Linked DNA regions of Astyanax mexicanus. The protein of the gene in region 1 purifies or fractionates together with the protein of each later gene. This does not show direct contact. Links are inferred from orthologs where the notes say so. Each region holds a gene or a part of one and is shown in the gene's direction. Other genes may lie near its edges.

What was found.
Region 2: the proteins of kdm8 (region 1) and RCC1 domain-containing protein 1 purify together in Homo sapiens (co-immunoprecipitation; 3 studies listed by BioGRID and IntAct, counting the BioPlex papers as one, with this or other methods). This does not show direct contact. The link is inferred for Astyanax mexicanus from reciprocal best matches to the Homo sapiens genes KDM8 and RCCD1.

Annotation. Positions count from the first base shown.
Region 1 is NC_064410.1:58,258,193-58,270,452, reverse strand, and holds the start of kdm8 (lysine-specific demethylase 8), read left to right. Parts: upstream 1-6,420; 5' UTR 6,421-6,439; coding exon 6,440-6,508; exon of another isoform or gene 6,509-6,653; intron 6,654-7,492; coding exon 7,493-7,957; intron 7,958-11,901; coding exon 11,902-12,074; intron 12,075-12,260. UniProt on the Homo sapiens protein: Bifunctional enzyme that acts both as an endopeptidase and 2-oxoglutarate-dependent monooxygenase.
Region 2 is NC_064409.1:59,371,453-59,382,945, reverse strand, and holds RCC1 domain-containing protein 1, read left to right. Parts: upstream 1-7,063; 5' UTR 7,064-7,189; coding exon 7,190-7,418; intron 7,419-7,542; coding exon 7,543-7,764; intron 7,765-8,462; coding exon 8,463-8,628; intron 8,629-8,891; coding exon 8,892-9,013; intron 9,014-9,576; coding exon 9,577-9,675; intron 9,676-9,767; coding exon 9,768-9,908; intron 9,909-10,019; coding exon 10,020-10,049; intron 10,050-11,082; coding exon 11,083-11,240; 3' UTR 11,241-11,366; downstream 11,367-11,493. Other genes in the region: dynein light chain roadblock-type 2, read right to left, coding at 2,653-2,696, 2,814-2,981, 4,942-5,017, 5,635-5,784. UniProt on the Homo sapiens protein: Plays a role in transcriptional repression of satellite repeats, possibly by regulating H3K36 methylation levels in centromeric regions together with KDM8.

The DNA of each region.
Region 1 (12,260 bases):
TAGTGAACAAACAGCATCATGAAGACAAAGACAGGTGAGCACTTACAGTTGTAATTGCAGCAAATGGTGGCTCTAAGTATTGATATAGGGGGGCTGAATACTTTTCGGATTTTTATTTGATACAAATTCTGAAAACCATGTATCATTTTCGTTCCATTTCAGACTTACGCAATACTTTTGTGTTTGTCTATAACTTAAAATCTCAATTTTGCGGTTGTAAGGGTGATAAAATGTGGAAAAAAGATTCAAGGGGTATTAATACTTTTGCAAGTCACTGTATATAATACCACCTACACAAAGCAGAACGGGTTTAAATCTTTTCTTTTTTTTTTTTCTTCTTAGAGATAACCACAAATTATGTGCCAAATAAAGCAGTCAGTGTGTTCAGCATTCAGCCGATACCACCACAGCCTGTTTTATTATTAATCCAGCAGCATCCTCAGGCTGCCACTCACCTTTATATCCAATATTCCAAGACTATACGGCAAAATATATAAATATATGTCTCTGTATCAGCATTAGAATTCTCTGAACGATGCGGTATACCTCTTATTATCAGAATAAAAAGAGGGAACTATTGTTTTTATGATGTATTATTGGTCTCTGTGTTCTTTCTGACTTCAAACATAAAAAATATGTTGATAAAAAAGGGAAAATAATAAATTTGCCCCGTGGGGCACACTGCATTATTTATAAGCACAGGCATGAAGCTCTCCTCACACGCTCGCACACGACCATACAAACAAAGCATTTCGTGAAAGGAAAAGCAGGTTTTTGAGAGCTTTTAATAGAATTGTTATTTGTTCTAGTACTATGTCAAATAGCCACAGTAAAAATTAAATACATTAAAAAATAATCTAAAATAAACCACTTAAATTTAGACACACCTTCACGTTCAGTGTTTTTATTATTTTTTATTTTTTCCCCTAGATTTTAAATGAATACTGAAGTGATCCAGACTATGAAGGAACACATAAGGAATCATGTAGTAACTTAAAAAAAGTGTTAAATAAACCAAAATACTCTGTGAAGCATTTAGCTGCTCTTATCTGGGGAGCTGTTTGTTAACTTGCAGTTTCTGAGGCTGGTAACTCTGATGAATTCATCCTGTACAACAGAGGAAACTCTTGCCCTTCCTTCCCTTGGCTGGTCCTGATGAGAGCCAGTTTCATAATCATAACAATTTTGATATCCTTTTTTGCGACTGAACTTGACGATACTTTAAAAGTTCCTAAAATGTTTCGGATTGACTGACCCTCATTTTTTAAAGTATTTTTTCTTTACTTAGTTGAGTAGTTCTTGCTTCTCATAATCTGGATTAGAACATTACTCAAATATTCACTATTCACTGTATACCTGTAACTCTACCTCTTCACTACTTTACTTTAACTGATGCTCTCAAACACTTTATTAAGAGACAATAAATACAAGTAATTAACTCTTGACGAGTTCAGCACAGCTGTTAACTGAAAGCCTGAATTCCAGGTGACTCTACCTCATAAAGCTGACTGAGAAAATCCAGCAGAGATGTTTGAAACTGTCTAATCTAAGCAAGAGGTGATACTTTGAAGAATCTAAAAGACAGTATGAAACATATTCTGTTTTGTTTAACACAATTTTCCCATATGTATTTCTTCATAGTATGGATGACTTCATCATTAATATACAATACAGGAAATGTTAAAATATTGAGCAACCACAGAATTTAAGGTGTGTCCAAACTTTAGACTAGTGCTGTATATACAGTTCTGGACAAAAATAAGAGACCACTTAAAAATGATGAGTTTCTTTGATTTTACCAAATTGAAAACCTCTGGAATATAATCAAGAGGAAGATGGATGATCACAACCCATCAAACCAAACTGAACTGCTTGAATTTTTGCACCAGCAGTAAAGGCATAAGGCTATCCAAAAGCAGTGTGTAAGACTGGTGGGGGAGAACATGATGCCAAATGCATGAAAACTGTGATTAAAAACCAGGGTTATTCCACCAAATATTGATTTCTGAACTCTTAAAACCTTATAATTATGAAATTGTTTTCTTTGCATTATTTGAGGTCTGAAAGCTCTTCATCTTTTTTGTAATGTCACTCATTTCTCATCTCATGACAATATTTTTATTTGGAATTTGGGAGAAATGTTGTCTGTAGTTTATAGAATAAAACAACAATGTTCATTTTACTCGAACATAAACCTATAAATAGCAAAATCAGAGAAACTGATTCAGAAACTGATGAAGTGGTCTTTAGAGTGGTTTTTAGAGCTGTATAAGTCAGCATTACAATTTAATAAAGAAAATGCTGTTTTCCTCCAGAATAAGGAATAGAGAATAAAAATATGGCACTATTGTTTTTTTTTTTTGTTTTTTTGTATGATATTTTACATTTATATTTTATGATGCATTATTGGCTGCTGTGTTCTTTCTGACACCAAGCATGAAAAATATTGTAGAAAAAAAGGAGAGAAATAAAGAAAAACAATAAACTCGTCCCATGGGGCATACTGCATAATTTATAAGATAACATAGGAAGCTCTCTTCTCACACTCATACATTAACATACTTTCACACAAACACACACACTTATACACTCATACACTGATACACACAAAGCATTTAGTAAAGAAAAAGCTGGCTTTGAATATCCTGGAATAATCCTTGTTCTATTTTTCCTAGAAATATGTCGAATAACCGCAATAAAAAGAATAATACAGAGAGCCAGGGAAGAAAAATCTGCAGCGTTTCATGTGGCGCCACCGCCACCGTGTCCCACGAGTGGAGCTTTCATCCGTTATGTCAAACGTGACAGCGCTGGAAGAGAAGTCATGCTGTGCAACACTCGCCCTGAAGCGAAGGCTTTCTGTCTCACACACAGGAAAAGTCAATAGCAGCGGGGAAGTGCTTTCCACACCAACCTACAGATCCGCTATATTTGCCTCGCGCACTCGAACTGCTTCATTTGTCAGAAACAGACGCTGGTGTTGAGCAGAATTGAACTGTCTCTGGTGTTTGCCGGAGTGTGAGGATCTTAATATCTCTGCCTGAATTCCCACACCAGGTGACATTCCCGCTAACTCACCGACACGCTAACATGCTAACACAGTGTCCTTAGCTGTGACATTGTTGTTGATGTTGCCATCACCCTGTTCTTATGTGCAGAATCCGAGCACAAGACCTGTCAGAGCTTGTGCAGAACAAACAGAATACAAAAAAAAACTCCAGCATTCACTTCACCATGACTTTGTAACATCAGCATGCAGCATGTAGCATCCATGCATTTTACAACAAGACAATGCAAAACCACATGCTGCACACACATGTACAGGGGTTGGACAATGAAACTGAAACACCTGTCATCATTTTAGTGTGGAGGTTTCATTCATGGCTTAATTGGAGCAGCCTGGTGTCCAATCTTCATTAATTGCACATTGCACCAGTAAGAGCAGTAAGAGTGTGAATGTTCAATTATCAGGGTAAGAGCACAGTTTTGCTCAGAATATTGCCATGCACACTATAACATTATGGGTGACATACCAGAGTTCAAAAGAGGACAAATTGTTGGTGCAAATCGTCTTGCTGGAGCATCTGTGACCAAGACAGCAAGTCTTTGTGATTTATCAAGAGTCACGGTATCCAGGGTAATGTCAGCGTACCACCAAGAAGGACCAACAACCTCCAACAGGATTAACTGTGGACGCAAAAGGAAGCTGTCTAAAACCACGGCTGATCAAATCAAGGCAGAATGTGCGATGTCAATGTGCACCTCAACTCCCATGTTTCCACCAGGACTGTCCGTCGGGACAATAAATTATTGTGGTCTAAAACCAGGTGTTTCAGTTTCATTGTCCAACTCCTGTACACCCCAATTCATCTCCAACTCCAAAACTCATCATTTCCACGGACCCTAGAATGTTTTTAATATTTTTTATCATTTATTTATAATATTTTTATGTTAGTATAATTTTGTGTATTGTAGTGAACTGTTGATGGTTGATGTATGATTTTCATATCTTGTGACATTCCACAGGGTTTTACTGTGGGACCAATAAAACTGATGTGAATAAAGAACAACTGCATAAAAGTTTTAAAAGTGAAGACCTAAAGTATAACTTACTGGTTCTAATGGGTAAAGCACTAAACACTAACTAATGTAATGGAAATGGGAAATAGGAAAATTACAGGTGTAAACATTATAGATTTTAGTTCTTAGTATTTAAATGCATGCATATGTTTTTCTAAAGTCATCTAGTGTACTACCTTGGGATGCTTCAAGTACCACTAGTGGTACCTGTACCATAGTTTGAGAACCACTGCTCTAGAGCATTGAACACATGTTCTCTGGAGTGACGAATCACGCTTCTCCATCTGGCAATCAGATGAACAGGTCCCTGTCTGACTTTATTGTGCCTAATGTAAAGTTTGGTAGAGGGGGGATTATGGTATGTGGTTGTGTCTATAAAGACATGGATGGACATGGATGTTCTGACCTCAACCCAATAGATAGAACACCTTTGGGATAAATTAGAGTGGAGACTGTGAGCCAGGCCTTAACCTCCAACATATTAAGCATCTTAATGTCTCTGCCATAAACACACTCCTAAACTTTGTGGAAAGCCTTCCCAGAGGAGCTGAAGCTGTTAATGAATTATTTATTCATTTAGGAATAACGTTTTTGGAAAGAGAGACCTGCCCAAGTATTTTAATATGGTTCCATCTGGCCCACTTTGGTAAAAGTTTGGAGACCTCAGTTCTAGATAATTCCACAGTGCTGTGCTGTGAAGAGCTGACTCTGCAGAGCAGCAGCAGTTCACTCCTCATTATTAAACACTCTCAGGGACAGGCTGGTGATTTGCTCTATAGAATGAGTGAGGTAAGGGTAAATTGTGGAGAATGAGATGTACTGGCCTGTCAGGTGGGCTCGGTGAGGGACCTCCATCACCACTGAGGAGCTTTTCATGGTCTCCTAGACATCCTACATTTTATTCAAGTCAATGTTTTATTAGCAACATTTATTATTTAATATTTATGCTCTCCTGGTGAATCTGTGCCTACAAGGCTGAGAACACCATAGAGAAATACACTATATGGACAAAAGTATTGGGAAACCTGCACAGTCATTGCTTCTTCCATAATCTTCCAAAGGGCTTATAAAAATGTTTATCCTGCTTTTTTTGGATTAACTGGATTAACTGTCATCTCCAACTCTAGAATATTTTTAATATTTAGTATAGTTCTATGTATTTCATTTTTCACAGTTAGCATACTTTTTATAGTTTGTTTTGAATATTTATCATATTTTTATACTTCATATAAATCTGTATATTTTAAAGATTTTTAATGTTTAGTATAATTTTGTATCTTTATATATTTTTTATATTTAGCATAATTTTGTGTATTTAAAATATGTATTATATTTAGTATAATTCTGTTTATTTAAAATACTTTTAGTGTTTGGTATAATTCTGTATATAAAAATATATTTTTATAAAATGTAGTATCATTCTGTATATTTAGAATAGTTTTAATGTTTAATTTAATTCTGTATATTTTAAATATTTTTATATTTAGTATAGTTCAGTATATTTAGAATATTGTTTTATATTTAGTATAGTTCTGTATAGAATATATAGTTATTTATGTAATGTATGTATCTGTGTATTTACTTTTGTATTTTTAGTGTTTTTATGTATATTAGGCTCTGTGTATATTTGTATATAGTATATTTCTATATAGTAGAATATTTTGCATATTTAGTATTTTCTGTATTTTTAGAATATAATAGTTCTGCATATTTAGTATTATTATATTATTATATATTATAGTGCTTTGTAGTTTCGTAGTACAGTAAAGTATATTTTGAATATTTATTTTTTTATATTTAGTGGATCCAGTTTTTGTATTAATATTTATGTGTATTACTGATATCCTGCAGTAGGTTAATTGTATGAGCATCAATCATTTCAGTGCAGTAATATGCAGTTATGAATTTTTAAATAGATTGTGTGCAAATTGCAAAAATTGCATAATACAATAAAATAAAAATAAAATAAACATTGACTATACAAATATCGTCACCTTCTCATTATTATTTACCCCTTATAACAGTCCATATCAAAAGTGTGACCAACACTAATTTATTATTCCTAAACAAAATAAAATGTTACTCAATTTAAATAGCTTTTTCTTTCCTGAAGTGATCTTCAACATTCAGGGATCGTTTTTTATTCAGTAAGTGATGAGATGTTTACTATAATATAAATACTTATTATTAATATGGCTATACGCTATAATATTACATCGTTTTTTTATCTACATTTTACTTAGCTAAACAGCCAAAGAAACAAGTCTATAAAGCTAGCTATAGATGATGTACAGTTTGTGGCTGTTAATTTTTATTTTTTTTTTGTGTGTGAAAAGTTTATTAATAGTAGGGAGTCTGTATGCTGTGCAGGCGGAACACTGGTGGTTCAGACGGAGTTTCAGCCCGGGCGCGTTTTGATGATGCGCAGGTACTGTGTGGAGGGAGGCTGTGGATATTTATAAATGTTTAGAGTGAATATAATGAATAATTAAAGTTTAAAACACGGTTTATAATGAAGTTCAGCTCTCTGCCGGTCCATACAGCCGCGCTTTAAACACGGAGCTGATCCAGCAGTGAGTAACTTACAGCTCTACTACTGTATTACATCAGCTAACAGCTAACTAACTAACTAATGCTAATATTAATGCTAACTGCTGTTTTACTGAATCTAATTACTTTAAAACTTTACACTTAAATAATAAACAACAGGTTTTATAGATGGATGGATGGATGGATGGATGGATGGATAGATAGATATACATGTGGACATAGGTTGATTGATTGATTTTTCCTTAAATTGATTTATTGATTGATTTATGGATTAGTTCATTCATTCGTTAAATGATTGATTAATTCAATAATTGTTTCATTAATTCATCAATTAATTAATTCATTGAGACATTTATGTATCGATTGATTGATTCGTTTATTGATCGATTCATTCATTAAATTTATTTATTTATTCATTCATTGATTTATTAATTGATTGATTTATTAATCGATTGATCGATCGATTGATTGATCAAACAGACTTAGTCCAATGTTAATCTGAGCCAAAGGCGCTGTTGCCATGTGGGTCAGCCAGACGTCTTTCTGTATCAGTTTTCTCCAGTTTCCAAGAGACTTTTAAAGGTGTAGGAAATAGTACTTGCTGCTTTCTGACTTCAAATTGACATTTTAAAATCCATTTTCATCTCTGTTTCCTGTAAGAACAGCTGAATGTGGGTTTTTAATGCCCAGATGTTGTTTAAATGTGAAATATGTGTGATATTTAGTGAGTAAATATGTAATCTGTTGTGTATAATTAGTCGACACTTAACTATAAAATCAGCAAATTTTTTTAAAATTATTTGATTGTGCTGACTAATTGTTGCAGCCCTAATTAACACCTTTTCTTACGCCTCTCCGGCAGGTAATGGCTCACATTTGGAAAGATGTGAAAGCCGTGCTTCCCGCCACCAAGCCTGAGTTTCCCCTCCAGTTCAGTGATGTGGTTGACCCAAGCGTTCTGGTCCTGTTGGGACTGAGCAGAGAGCAGCTGTACAGCTCCTCAGATCCTCCAGCCTGTGTGGAGAACGCTCAGATCATCATGGACTACTCCTGGGAGAAGCTGAACACAGGGACCTGGAGAGACGTGGATAAGGAGTGGAGGAGGGTGTACTCTCACGGCTGTCTGTTTAAAGCTGTGGGGATGTGTCATGGAGAACCATCTCAAGCCCAGGTCCAGGAAGCCATAAAGACGTGTGATATGGGTTTACTGATGGGAGCCGCCATCCTGGACAATGTCCTGCAGAGGTTGGTGGGTGTGCTGAAGAAGAAATTGAAGATGCAGCTTTCCAGCAGAGAGGAGGAGGACAGTGACCGGCCCTGTCTGAAGGTGAATGTTTAAAAAATGCTGATTTAACCGTCTGTTAGGTGTATGGTATATTTGGTATAATCTGGTATATTTGATGGTCAAGGTGGTTTAAAAAAGCTGGTAATTATTGTAAAAGCTTTATAATGGTATTACTGATTAAATATCTGATGATTAATTATCTTCATACTTTACTAACATATGATATGTCTTTATTAGGGCTGTGAATGTTAAGGCATTACCATGTGATGCATTTTAAATCGTAATGCGTTTTTTTTTTTTTTTTTGGAGCAGTTCGCATGTGGTGAGAACGTGATCTGTTTTCGATCTGACCCAGCTATCAAATATGCTTCTTTATAATTAAACTGCTGATAAGGTGCAGTTAAATATTAAGTATTAGCCAGATAATATACTGCTATTAATAAACACTGTCTCTGCTGCTCCATGCTGTTTGCACACTAAGAGCGCAATGTGTGCAGCATTCACTGCTCGCAGCTGCATGACTCTGTGCTGCACATCGCATTAAAAACTGTATTTTTAAAAGCACAGAAGCAAATTTTCAACATAATATAGATATAATTGCATTTTACATTTCTTACATTCACACATAGTTAATCACAGAATATTGTTGTGATTATTTTTTTTTTGTCCGATTGACACCACTATTTTTGATTTGAATCTATTGAATTTATTGTTTATTTTACTGTATTGTTTTTTAAAAGCCCACGCCCAAGTCCTTTGGCCACACCACCACCTTCCTTTTTGTGGTTATGAACTTTCCATTTTCATATTAGTGTTAAAGCCAGAAAATAAAATATTTATAATCACATAAATTAATGCTGCAGCTATTGAATATAATCAGGTATTCTGTTGAAAATTTATTTTAGTAATTGAGTAATCAGAGAACATATTTTTGCTTCTTTAACCCTTTTAAAACCTGCATCCATTACAATGGACACCATGTACTTTCTTAATTTTTTGATGTGTTGTTGCACGTGACACTAAGTTGTCTATCAGAATAGACCCTGAATCAGCAAATGAACAAAAAAACTGGAAAAAGCACTAGAGCCATTGAGGGGAAGAAACAGCTACACTTTTTAATCATGATTTTTACTGTTTAGGAATGGTTTGTGAAATAAAAAGGTAAATATGAAATATAAAATATTACACACAGGTCCCCAATGCGGTGAAAAAAAAACTACTGAATATTTTAGTTCATTGGATTTATTTGCTATATAGATTTTATAGTAGAATATTAGAGTATTCTTTTCTGTGCATTACAGACAGAAAGCAGCTTTCTTAACTGCATTGTTTCCCATTACTGGAGATAATTCAGGTCTGAAAGGGTTAAAGAGCAAGTATAAATACACAAGAGAAAATAAGAAACTTGACTTAATAATGAACGACCAATTGTTTTCCTTTTTTATATATATATTTTTTTCTTAAACTTCTTAAATTCACCTTTTAATAGCCACAAACTGTAACGAATTGTACCAAACTTACGACCTTCGATATGATATACAGGTGCTGGTCAACGAATTAGAATAATTTGAAATAGTGCAATCGTGAAATTCTTTGAATGCATTTTTTGTGCAGAAAGCAAATCAGGTGTTCACCACACCTGTCCTACTCGTTAGACTAATCACAGAACTCGTTACCTGGAAAAAAATTTGCTCAGCTGAGCTTTCCAAAAGGCCCATTTAGGCCATTTAACTGTGACACTGTTGTTTTATTGAATTAGAATAATGGAGAAACCGTTTCATTGAATTAGAATAATTTTTATTATAATTACAATCATCACTTTCTCAGTATTTTGTGGCTGCCCCCTTGGCTTGTATGACTGCCTGAAGTCTCCGCGGCATCGATTTGACCAGCTTGTCGCAAGTTTCCGCACTCACAGCTTCCCAGGCAGTGGCGATGTTCTGCTTCAGTTGGTCCAGCGTAGTAGGCTTTCTGTCTCGAATTTTCCGCTTGACGATGGCCCAAAGGTTTTCAATGACATTGAGGTCAGGCGAGTTGGCCGCCCATGCCAAAACTTCAAGCTGTTTTTTAGTGAACCAATCTTTGGTCGACTTTGCCGCATGAGCCGGTGCAAGATCCTGTTGAAATATGAAGTCTTCTTCACCGAACTGTTCCTCAACAGTCGGAATCAGGAACGTTTCCAGAACATCTTGATATACGGCAGCATTGACAGTCTTCTTGAGGAAGCAGAGTTTCCATACACCTCGAGCGGACATGCATCCCCAGACCATAACGCTCTGGGGAAACTTGACGGATCTTTTCACGCACTCGTGGTTGTAGGTTTCGCCACCACGACGCCAGACACGAGGACCTTGGTCACCGAAGGAGATGCAGAAGCGTGATTCGTCACTGAAGACCACTTTCTGCCAGTCTTCAGCAGTCCACTCGCCGTGTTCTTTGGCCCACTTCAGCCGTTTCTCCATTTGTTTCTTGTTCAGCATCGGTTTTACTGCTGGAACGCGAGATTTGAAGCCGAGTTCGCGCAGACGACGGTAAGTGGTTGATCTGGAGACGTCAGCGCCGGTCTGCTTGTTCCACAAGTCGGTGAGCTCGGAAGTGGACTTGAACCGGTTGCTGACTGCGATCTTTCTCAGCTGCTTGTTGTCGCGAGCAGAAGTTTTTCGGACGCCGGAACAGTTGGTGCGCTTGCTGCAGTTTTTCTTGAGAGCTTTGCAGACGGAAGACTGGCTGATGCCGAGCTGCTCAGCAATTTTAGTTTGGGTCAAGCCTTGTTGGCGAAGGGCTTGAATTTGAGCCACTATTCCGGTTGAGAGGTCGCGCTGCTTACCCATGATTGATTTTACAACTTAGAAATTCTACTCAACCCTGACTTTATACTGCGCAGTGAACACTCTTCACAGAAAACAAAAATTCGAGCATTTATTCTAATTCAATGAAACGGTTTCTCCATTATTCTAATTCAATAAAACAACAGTGTCACAGTTAAATGGCCTAAATGGGCCTTTTGGAAAGCTCAGCTGAGCAATTTTTTTTCCAGGTAACGAGTTCTGTGATTAGTCTAACGAGTAGGACAGGTGCGGTGAACACCTGATTTGCTTTCTGCACAAAAAATGCATTCAAAGAATTTCACGATTGCACTATTTCAAATTATTCTAATTCGTTGACCAGCACCTGTATACAGCTCTAGAAAGAATAAAGAGACCACTTTAGTTTCTGAATAAGTTTCTCTGATTTTGCTATTTATAGGTTTATGTTTGAGTAAAATCAACATTGTATTTTTGTTCTATAAACTACAAACATTTCTTACAAATTCTAAATAACAATATTGTCATTTAGATCATTTATTTGCAGAAAATGAGAAATGACTGAAATAATAAAAAAAGATGCAGAGCTTTTAGAACCCAAATAATGCAAAGAAAACAAACAAGTTCATATTCATAAAATTTCAGTTCAGAAATCAATATTTGGTGGAATAACCCTGTTTTTTTATGCATCTTGGCATCATGTTCTCCTCCACCAGTCTTACACACTGCTTTTGGATAACTTTATGCTGCTTTACTCCTGGTGCAAAAATTCAAGCAGTTCAGTTTGGTTCAATGTTTGTGATCATCTTCCTCTTGATTATATTCCAGAGGTTTATAATTTGGTAAAATCAAAGAAATTCATCATTTTTAAGTGGTCTCCTTTTTTTTTTTTTTTTTTTTTTCCCCAGAGCTGTATCTATATATCTCCGTATCGATACTGAAATGATACCACGGCAAAAACCTAAAAGTCAGAAATGAATGTATGAATAAAAGAAGATTGAACATTACATTTTGTATTTATTTTTTTATTAATAATAAATGAAAAATATAACAGAAATGGTTACCAATGTGACAATGTTTATTCTTCATTTAAAGTAAGAACATAGGATTCAGGATTTAATACCATAATAAGGAATTTTTACAAATGGTAACTTCACAAAATGCCATCTCCTATGTGAACAGAAACTCAAGAAGGACGGCACACCAGAGCCCAGGATCGACGCTGCCGTCTCTGTACCGAGGGTGAAGTGTCCGGCTCTGGAAACCTTCCGGTCTGAATATCTGGAGCCCCAGAAGCCGGTCATACTGGAGGGGATAATCAGCCACTGGCCTGCTTTCACAGAGCATCCATGGAGGTACTATATATAGGCCCAATCCCATTTCACGCCATTCTTGTTAGGCTGGAGAGGTAGGTTAGGGGGAAGGGTTTGTTAGCCATTCATACAGGGATTTTTCAGAGGCACACTTCAAACGAAGGGTTATGAGGATCACTGGTAAAACAGCAGAACAAGCATCCAAAGAACCCCACAAATCTGACTATT
Region 2 (11,493 bases), on another chromosome or scaffold:
ATATATATTCTCACATAATGGTGCTTTAATTCAAACAACTGTTTAAAACCTTTGAGTACTGAAATTACATTAAAACATTTATCTACAGTTATAATATATTTTTGTTGTTTGTTTTCAAAGTATCTTTATTCTCTGTTGAAATCTGCTGGTGTAGTGAGTAGAATAACAGCTTTATGAAGCTCCATTGCTGAACCTAGGCTGGTGGAACTCCGAGGAAAAGCAAATCAGTCGTACGAGTCTGAGGCCTGAGCAAGGCCAGGTTTCAGATGTCGTTTGCCCTGGCCAAGGCTGTGTCACCAGAGTGCTCTGTACTGCCACACACCACAGCTGCTGGATATGAACTCTGATATTGAATGTACCCCTCACCGATCAAATTATAGCAGGCATTTAATTTATTAATCTACCATCCGTCTGTGAAATCTGTCTGTGTGGAGTCTTTCAGGGGGCAAAACAAAAGAGGGGGTCTCCCTTACACCCTCACACACGGAGCCTTAATACATAAGAGAGGAGGCTTTAATGTACTAATGTCAACAGATTGAGATCACAAACTGGTGGACCCAGCCCCACTAGGGACCACCTCATTAATAAAGCAAATGACAGAGATAAAAGAAGCAGTGGATCCAGCACTGCTACAGAGCTCCTGCTCATTAATAAAGAAGAAATTATACGTACAAATTAGGTGTGAATTAAATCATTTTGTAGAGCTGGATATACAGATGAATGAGGTGCATTAATGTAGTATAGAGTAGTTATTATTATTATTACTATTATTATTATTATTATTATTATTATTAATAATAATAATAATAATAATAATAATAATAATAATAATAAAAACGTCCACAGACTTTGGCTTAATTATGCATACCAAACAGGGTGGGGAGGCTACAGAAACGTGGTGTTTTTGAAATACAGTATCAGGTGGTGTTCATTGGCTATGTTCACATTACAAGCCTCATTAAACAATTTAGATTATTCGTTCAGATCAGATTTGGCCATCTTGATGGTTCACGTTCATGAACCAAATGTAAGTGAACTGTATCCGTCTGTAATGTGAACATATCTGTCACTAATGCAGCACACATGCACACATCGATATAGGTTTATGCACATCAGCTCTTTCACCAACTGGTGCTGACTGACGATGACAAAACTAAGCTCATTCATACAGGCAAAAAAACACTGAACTGAACAGTCAACTGATTTGACTGGTAACATTAATACTCTGTGAAACATTTAATTGGGATTTTATCTGGGTTGTTGTTAACTTGCAGTTTCTGAGGCTGGTAACTTAGCTGGTAATTAATCCTTTGCAACAGAAATTACTCTAGGTCATCCATTTTCTGGTCTGATGAGATCCAGTTTGATCATAACATTTTATAGTCTTTTTATAGAACTTGAGGATGTTTTCTAAGTTCTTGGATTTTTTTTTGTTATTGACTGACCTTCATTTCTTAGAGTATTTTTTTCTTTACTTAATTAAGTAGTAGACATAATATGGAACACGTAAATAGGGCTATTAACTGTATACAAACTCTACTTCTTCACAACTGTACAACTGATGCTCTCAAACACATTAAGAGGCCAAGAAATTTAAGCAATCAACTCTTGTTCAGCACAGCTCTTAACTGAAAGCCATTTCACGTGACTCTACATTATAAAGCTGAAATGCAGAGATGTGCAAAGCTGTAATTTAAGCTTGAGGTGCTATTTTGAAGAATCTAAAATATATAACATATTCAGATTTGTTTTACACATTTTTGTTTACTAAATAATTTCATATTTTTATTCATAGTTCGAGTGAATTAGAATTACCCTACAATACAGAAAATTTCATACTAATTAAAAAAAAATAATAATTTAAGATGTGTCCAAACTTTTGACTGGAACTGCATCTTCAGTAGTTGATTTAATGAATTCATTAATTTACTCCTATTGCATATACCTTTATTTACATTTTGTTTTTTTACTGTATATTTTATATTTGATGTTTTTATTTTCTGTTCATAGAAAGTGTATATTTCTCTATAATTTAATTGAATTTATTTTAATTAAAGTTTGGGTTTGGCATCTGCACCAAGGGAAATTACTTGTACACCTGGTTATTTGGTGTATAAAGATTTTGATTCTAATGAAGACACTCCACTGCCACAGACCTGCTAATATCAACATACAAGCCAATTACCAAATTATATATACTAACCATTTCATTTTATAATCCATCCTTCTACAGGAATTCTGACCGTGTGGAATTCCTGTATGGGAAAGTTATGTTTACATCCTGGGCCTTGATTATTCGCATTTATGGAGCAATAGCTCCCTCTAGTGGGGGGTTAAGTGGTCTACACCAACCCTGATCACTCCATTTAACAAAGTCAAGAAAGCATGCTGCAATAAACACTATAAGCCCTCGAAGATCTTATAATTCAGTTATCTTCAACGACAGATACAACAAGTGTTAATTCTCATGAGATTTATTAAATTAAAATGCATTTTCTATAGGAAAACATAAGGCAAATACAAGTGTGTGACTGACAGGAACGTGACAGTTCAATTCAAGAGGCAAAAGACATGGAAAAAAGGCAACTCAAAAGACAGATGACAAATGTAAGGTATGTATGGAATGTGCAAAGCTGGTACAGTCCCAGAATACTATTCACTCGGGTTCTGAATGACGATCAGTAGGTATTCTTTATCTGTGAATAAAAATAGATAAAGAAAACTGCTATTAGAGTTCATTTCATTCTTCTCTGTGTCAAAATCAAAATAAAAACAATGTTTATCACATACGACATGCAAACTGATTCACATACCAGGTGCAACCATGATCTCATGCTTCTTGGATCTGATGCGTAGGAATGTCAAGTCATTCTGAGGGTCTATGTCCCTGACTGTGCTCCTGGCTTTCATAGTAAGCTGATGAAGCAGTCCAGCGTACTGTACTGTGGTGGAATTGTCCAGGGTTGTTCTAATGGGAATACCTTGAAGATCCGAAGAAAATATCACTTTTAAAGCCACATGATGATAGTTTTTAATGCAAAAGGATTTAATCAGCAATACCATTCAGCTTGTTTTTGCCATTAGGGCTGTATGATAAATCATATTTTTTCTTTATCAACATTTTTAAGTTTTTAATAAAGTTTTCAAGACAAACAAATGGAAAGATCTGCAACAACCCTTAAATAAGACAATTACAATGTATTACTCATGTGCAGCAACAGAGGGAGCTATACAGGTTACAGACTGTGCTTATGTAGGCTAGTAGGCTGAAGACAGAGTGAGGTACAGGACATGGTGAATCTCACAGCAAACTATTGTTGCACATCAGATTTTTTTCATATTAGGCACCCCTAATATATTACATAGGCATGTAATATCTTGCAAATAAAATTTTGTAAAAACTACATTTGTAAATTAATGCAGTGGTAAGTGGAAACATTGCTCTGAGTATTTGATTGCAATTAAAATGGATGATTAGTTCTGGATCACCCTCAAAGTGTATACAATCTTATCTGCAAAGGGCAAATGTGGCTGCAAGTTTTTATTTTAAACAATTAGCAGCACAGCTGATTCCAACTGTTTATTCAGATGGCCAGTCATTAAACAACCGATCACTTGATCACAACTGTATTAGACAGAGCTCCATATCGATTGCTTTAGGCTTAAGATTATGCAAGATGTGTGTGCACAACATACAACATATAGCTTTTAAAAAGCTGAATACTTTAACAAAACTGTGTGGATAGTTTGAAATATAATAGGTGACAGGAGATACCCTTTACTTTTAGAATATACTGCTGCTGTCCAATGAAATACAAGTACTTCCATTTTAGTCTAGTTTTAGTTTACTACATAATCTGAATGCACAATCTGTTACTTAAGCAATATCCAGACAGGATTAGTTTCTCAGTAGGTTTCTCAGTAGGGGTAATTTTCTCTTTTACGTGTTGTTCCTTGTGATTTTATTCTCGTCCAGAATAACCATGTATGTGTTTTTCTCAGACGTCCTCTGAGAAAATTACAGGCTGAATTACCTACTGTTTTTCACTGAACTCTGTGGTCCTCCGGTAATTTTAGTCCCATCTACACTCACACCTCACGTCACTTTGTGTTTAATAAAATAGCTATTTGTCCACTGCCACACACCGTAATTACACTTTAGATGTGTTTCCACGGAGAGGCAGGTAAACACAACAGCGAGTGGACATGAAGGGGCTACTGAACGCAATGTCATGTGACCGAGAAAGACAAATGAAACTCACTGGTCCTCCTGAGAAACTAATCCCATCCAGATAAGGCTTTATACTGTTTCAAACATATCCTGAGGAATGGACCAATACAAATTTTAAAAAAATTACATGAATTAAACTCTTAACTTTTTGAACGTCTTAACTAGCTTCTGTAAAGGAGATACAGGTCCTTATCAAATAATGAGAATATCAATAAAAAGTTACTTTATTTTAGTAATTCAATTCAAAATGTATCACTGAACTGACTTTGGACTTGTAAGAACACAGTGGATCAACACCAGCAGATGACATGTCTCTCCAAACCATCACTGATCATCAGTAAATTTTACATTTCATTTGGAAATCAAAGCATTAGAGTCTGGAGGAAGAGTGGAGAGACACACAGTCCAAGCTGCTTGAGGTCTTAGTGTGAAGTTTCCATAATCAGTGATGGTTTGGAGAGACATTTCATCTGCTGGTTTTGGTCACTGTGTTATATTAAGTCCAAAATTAGTGCAACGTTTTTCCAGAAAATTATACAGCACTTTGTGCTTTCCTAGGCTGACAACATTTATTTCAATTATATTTTAAGTCTTTGAGATGCACCTGCACATGTTTTTCATTGGACAGCTATGATACCCAGCTCCACTGCAGGCTGTCCATCAGTGATGTTCCCAGCCATATGCATGATGAAAAATACACACGTGTTTACCTTCAGCATTTACTACTATTGTCCCTATGACCCCTTTGTGGGTCTGGATTCTCTTCAGTGTGTCTTCTACTTCAGCCTGGAGTACGACATGATAGGAAAGGTTTGGAAGACATAAGAAACAATGTCATTTAGAGACAACCAGCACAACACACTTCCTTACTTCCTTCCTTACTTACTTATTTATTTTTTTTACTATTTTTTAATTGTCTGTTTGCTAGGAAATTACTGGTATATTAAGCTAGAACTCCTGTTTTTTTATTTTTATAAAGGACCTTGCTCATCACCTTAAATACAACCCAATTTTAGCTATGTATAAGCTACTCCTGAACTAATATTTCTTTTGTTACTCAAGGAAAACGAGATTAACATCATATGTGGACAACAATGTAGCTAGCTCAGCTAAAATAATTACATACACACTAAGGTAACATAGTTAACTAGCGTAATGTTAGCTAGCTCATAGACATATAATTTATACATACATTTATAAATGTCTATGAAATCGCTGGTTAACTAGCTAGCTACCAAGCTAAGCTACATAGAGAAGAGAAGGCTATGCTAAGGGTGATATCAGCTATCAGTTATTATATCCGAAGTATTAAAAACAACAATTCAGACTGTATCCTAACAGAACTCTCTCTCTCTCGCTCTCTGTTATAAAGAAGACTGAAATATGTATAACAGATATTTCACCATAGCTCCTCCGCTCTGTTTCCTCCGTTGCTGTTTCTCTGATGTGCTTTCCGTTGCTATGTGGAGACGGAAGTGTGAAGCCAGTAGTAGTGTAGAAAGATTTACCACAGCTGGTTTATGGAGAGACTGCCCACTTTTTAAATCCACCATTATAATCGGAAAATGACCAAGACCGCTAGAGGGCGCCCGCCAGTGAATCCGAAATGAATGCGGGCGAATGGAGCTAAACGGTTAAAGGCTCAATTTAAAAATAGTAACTATCAACTTGTCAAGAACATTAATTTCTAGAACATAGAATGATGCATTTTGCTCTGAAAGCAAAGAAACCCTACCTATGTATTCCGTTTTTTCTTCATTGAACGAATTGTATGCCGTAAAGGCGCTAGCATTACTGCCACTGTGAGCTGAGTGATTTCTGATCTGATGCTGAGCTGAGTTACAGTTTAAAAGCTTTAAAATATGTATGTGGTGCTAAACCATTTAAAACTGTTCTGTGTTGAGAAAATCAGTAGAATTCTCAGTATAAAATGATCTTACATTTATAAACACTGATTTTGCTCAGTTGCTCCATTTGAACTTTAATTTTGGACTCACTCGGGAGCGCCCTCTGGTGGACTAACGAACACGGGAGACTTTATTATTAATTGGGCATCCTCCTTTCTATTATTGATTCTCTAGTATTACCAAAGAACTACAGAGGAGAATACCCATTTAATAATGTTTTAATAATATGTTTGTTAGGCCACCAGAGAGCGCTCCCGAGTGAGTCGAAAATGAATAGGTTCCTAAGAAGTGATATTTGATTATTTTTTTATATATAAAGCATGTACTTATTTCCTTAACGCAGAACAATTTAAAATTGTTCAGGAACACAGACATACATTTTAAAGCTTTTACACTCCAGACACGCCTTTTAAACTCAGTGCTCTGGCTGTAACTCCAACATTAGCTCACTCACCAGTCAAGCAGCACATGGTAGCAGTAATGCTAGCGCCTGTACTGCGTAAACCCCTTTACTGTAGAACAATTAAAACATACAAGTAGGTTGTCTTTGCTTGTTTAGAGAAATGCTAAATTTACTTTAAATTAAAGGAATCTTCTGAACAGGTAGTTACCTACTATTTGTAATTTGAGTTTTTAGCCATTAGCTCAATTCAGCCCTATTAATTGGGCACTCCCTCGCGGGCTCCCTCTAGCGGTGTGCAGCCGTTTACTGATATAAGTGGTCAGACTCTCTCTAAACCGGCTCTGATTTTACATTTTTAAGAAAATAAACATTTTCCTTAATTTAGTCTAAATGTTTATATTATTAAAATAATAAATATACATACACATATGCAGACGATTCAGAGATTGTATTATAATTATCATATATATATCATACATAAATATCATTAAGAATGACTTTTATTCTGTAATACTGTTTGCTGCTTGTTTCTTTGACGCCGACAGTTTACTAAATTTAACTTGTCAATTTCAGTGTTATTTCTGCTATACATCAGCAAGTAAGGCCTTTAAAATAAACATATGTTGTGTTTTATAAGATAATAAGTCAATGAAGTGGTTTGGTTTTGGTTTTAATGGCTTTGGGCAAATATTTCCCAGAGTAAAAAGTGAATATAGTGGAGACAGCTCTAAAGTGTTGAGTCCAGCTGCAGTGCTGAGTTTGTGCTCCTGTGGAGAAAAAACAAGCTTCAGCCCCAAAACCAAGAAAACAGAACCAGAGGACCAAAACATCAGGATTACTGCAGCTTGGAGCCGAAAAGCTGCCATCCACATACATGGTGAGATTTATTTTACTTTAGTTATGCTTTGTTTAACTTTGTTTAGTTTTATTAAGTGATTTCCCGCTTATTACCTCAAGTTCTATTATAGTAAATCACTAATTGTGTGTGTTATAAACTGCAGGTGGTAAACACGTGTGTGTATCAGGGCTGAGAGGTGATTCAGAGCAGCAGGATGAGGAGTTCAGAGGGCTGGTTGTGGAGAGTGAAGGGTGTGAGGACGCTCTGATCACTGAGAGGTATCTAATCCTCAGATTTGCTGACAGAGTGGAGTGCTGGAGCCAACTGACGCCTGCTGGAAAAGCTCTGGCCTGGAGCAGGGTGTGGGATAGCCCTGATAATACTGGTGATGGAGCTACACTGTACACTGAATCACTGCTATAACCCCTAGATACATTTCATTAGTCTCAGCACCACATTTATTCTAGGTTTAATCAGTGGTGGACAAAGTGCCCAATGTATCATGAAGTTGAGTTATTATTGAAGCTCATTCTCCCCACCTAAAATAAAAAAAAAAAAATCCAGCACATTTTATTCCTTATTATTAAGTAAACCGCTATCTCATTATTTTAGGATACTAATTCATTATTTTGAGATATTAAGTCATTATTTTATGATAATAATTCATTATTTTGATATAGTAAGTCATTATTTTTATATACTATCTCATCTCATGAGTCTTTTAAAGGTGTAGGAAACAGTTCTCACCACTCCATGGCTTCATCTGTAATTTTACCAAAGAAAATACTTATTTTTATTATTTTTAAAAATACATTTCCAGGGCTCAGTTTATTTCCATTGCTACATTTTTTTACAGTATGCATTATTTAGTTTTTCTTTCATTTATTTGCCCTGCCAGTTTACAAATATATAAAAGGGTAAATTTGGGGTGTTTATTTCTTAAACAACACTGCACCAATAAGAGTCTTTTGGCAAGACTCAAATAGCTATATTCACCTACATATCCAATATGATTCAAATGTTGTTCTAGATAAGACCATCAACCAGTTGCAAATGACTATTTTTGTCTCTTTTCTCATAAAGGTGATACTGTAACATTACCACTGGTGCCAGGAGGATACATAGAATCCAAACCTCCGTTCTTCAGACCCCTCTCTACCGAGCTGTGTGCCGTTAGCTTGGCGCTGGGCACTGAACATGCTGTTCTTCTGACAACATCTGGAACTGTCTACACCTGGGGATCTGGCAGGTAATAGCCAAAAACAATCCTCAAATGAATGATGTCCTATCACTGATATTTGTGTGTTTTGGAATTTCTGACAAATTATAGATTAATAAACAGTCTGTCTGATGTATAAGGATTACTGTGCTGTGATGTGTGGTATTGTTGCTAATCCACATTAAGATTAACATAGATGGATAAATGGTGGCCCTGATTACAGGATAAGATACCCCATACATTGTGCCTTCTTTATGTTTTTTATAACCATGTTGTTGTGTTTGGTTTGGCAGTCATGGTCAGCTTGGTCAAGGCAGTGTGGTTTCAGAGGATGAGCCTCGAGCAGTAGAAGCTCTGTGGGGTGTCCCTATGAACCATGTGAGTGCAGGGGGCTGGCACTCGGCATGCATCAGCGGTAAGATTATAACAAATTATCAAATTCAGCATTTAAGCAGCCGTCCTTAAGATTTCTGAAGACAGTAATATTCATAAGTTCAGAGGAGTCAAAATATTTTAATGAATAATGTTAGGGTCCTGGCATTGCCACCCCTGCAATGCCTAATATATTCATTTTAAATAGAGAGTGGCCTGGTAGGTTTGTTGGATGTAATTGCTCTCTACATTTTGACAGTATTTTATAAATGGACAAAATGAATGAAACATTGTACTCAACTTTTTATTGTTGTCAGGACTACCAAACTAGATATACCAAAAATCAGATTTAGGCTGGCCGGCTGAACATAACCTATGATTATAAGCTAAATTACTTTAGAATAAATGGGTATTTGAAAAAAAGGTTTATTTTTGAATGGCATTTCAGTCCAGTATCTTGAATTTTACGGGTCAGAAAAAGCTATGTCATTTCAGATGTTATATAAGCTTATAATGGATTACGTAACATCTATGCAACATCAGCAAATAAAACGAATGAATGGTTTTGACTTGAGCATTTGATATATGATATGTTAATGTGTGCAGCTGGTGGAGACCTCTATATATGGGGCTGGAACGAGAGTGGACAGATAGGCCTGCCATCAAAAGGTCTTAACGATGAGAGTCAAAAAGGACAAAGCACTGGTGAGTCCATCTTAGAATTTTGAATAAATGCTTGAAATACTATCTCTCCATGTGTTCATGTCCTTCTATTTTTGACACTTGTTTACCATTAGGTAAAGATAAACGAACTATGAATAAAGGAGAAGATGATATATTCATTTCAATTCAAGCCTTCCCTGCCCTTGTGGATGTTCCGGAAATGTGTGAAATCAGGAAGGTGAGCTGTGGATCCCGCCATACAGCCGCTACCACAAGTAAGATTCGTCAGTGCTTGTTATTTTATTAGTAGTAATAGGTTAATGAAAAACAGTAGTATGGAGAAAGAAGGATGTGACTGATAATTTAATTGTTTAACTTCTTTTTAGGCACTGGAAATCTGTACACCTGGGGATGGGGTAAAAACTTCACTTCCCTTTTGTTCACTGATAAATGTATACACAATTGTTAGCTACCTTGATCAGCTGAAAATTGACACCACCTTTGTGTTTCAACACTCATTGCCATTTTTATTAGGTCAACTGACCATATACTGTAGAAGCACTCTTTATTTCTGTAATCACAGACAGTAGTCCTTTGTCTTTCTGCATACATTATTATCCTTCTTTTACCCTGAGAGCAGGTATTATTTTGGTGATGGGTCATTCTCAGCACCGCAGTGACACTGGCATTATGGTGGTATATTAGTGTGTATTGTGCTGGTAGAATCTGATCAGACACAGCAGTACTGCTGGAGTTTTTAAACAATGCAGTATTACTGTTAAACTGAGAATATTCTACCATTCAAAAATATCCAGCCACGGGGGGCTCCGAGTGGTCCAGCGGCCTAATGCACTGCCACTATGAGCGGGAGGTCGCAGGTTCGAACCCCCGCTCATGCAGCTTTGCCATCAAGCTGCCGGTGCTTAGAGGGAGCAAAATTGGCGCTTCAAGCTGCCGGTGCTTAGAGGGAGCAAAATTGGCTCTGCTCCCTCTGGGGTGGGTAGATGGCGCTCTCTCTCCACATCACACATAAGGTGGCGCTGGGTGACACAAGGCGTCTGTGAGCGGATGAATTGGAACCTGGCCGCTGTGCTTTCCTCCGAGCGCGCTAGCTGCTCAGGCAATGATTCATCAGCAGCAGCTCGAAAAAAGGGGTGATTGACTTCACACGTGTCGGAGGAGGCGTGTGCTCGTCCACATCCTCCAAGGGTCACGGGCGTCACCGGTGATGGGGACGCACAAAGGGGTGGGACAATTGGATATTCAAATTGGGAGAAAATGGGGAAAAATCTGAAATAAATTTATAAAAAAAAAATATCCAGCCACCAGCATCATATATGGTCAGCTGATCTGATTAAATAGACAATGACTGTAGAAACAAAGAGGGGATGTTAAAGTTATGGTTCATTGATTTATATTCTAACACTTTGCATTTTTTCTCTGTAACAGGTCACTATGGCCAGTTGGGTCATGGCTCAAAATGCAGTTCAGATCAACCCAAAGCCGTGGAGTACTTCTCAAAAAATGGGATGTTTGTAGAAGATGTTGTCTGTGGGCTGTGGAATACATTTGTGTCTGCTGTTCCAAAAGAGCATCGCTTCTCATGACCCCCAAACAAAGGGATCTATTTTCTACTGGAGTCCTTTCAATTGTGATGGACGATCATCAAGACAGCCATAATAAATGTAGGGAAACAACATGCGTTTATTAAATATAAAATATCTCCAAAAATACAGGTTTAGAGTAAAGAAAGGTTGTGCAGAAAATATGTACAGATTTCTTTATAAATTAGAAAAGCATAGAAATACTGATAAGAGTATATGTCAATTAACACCTACATTAGGACTGTTAAGAAAAGAG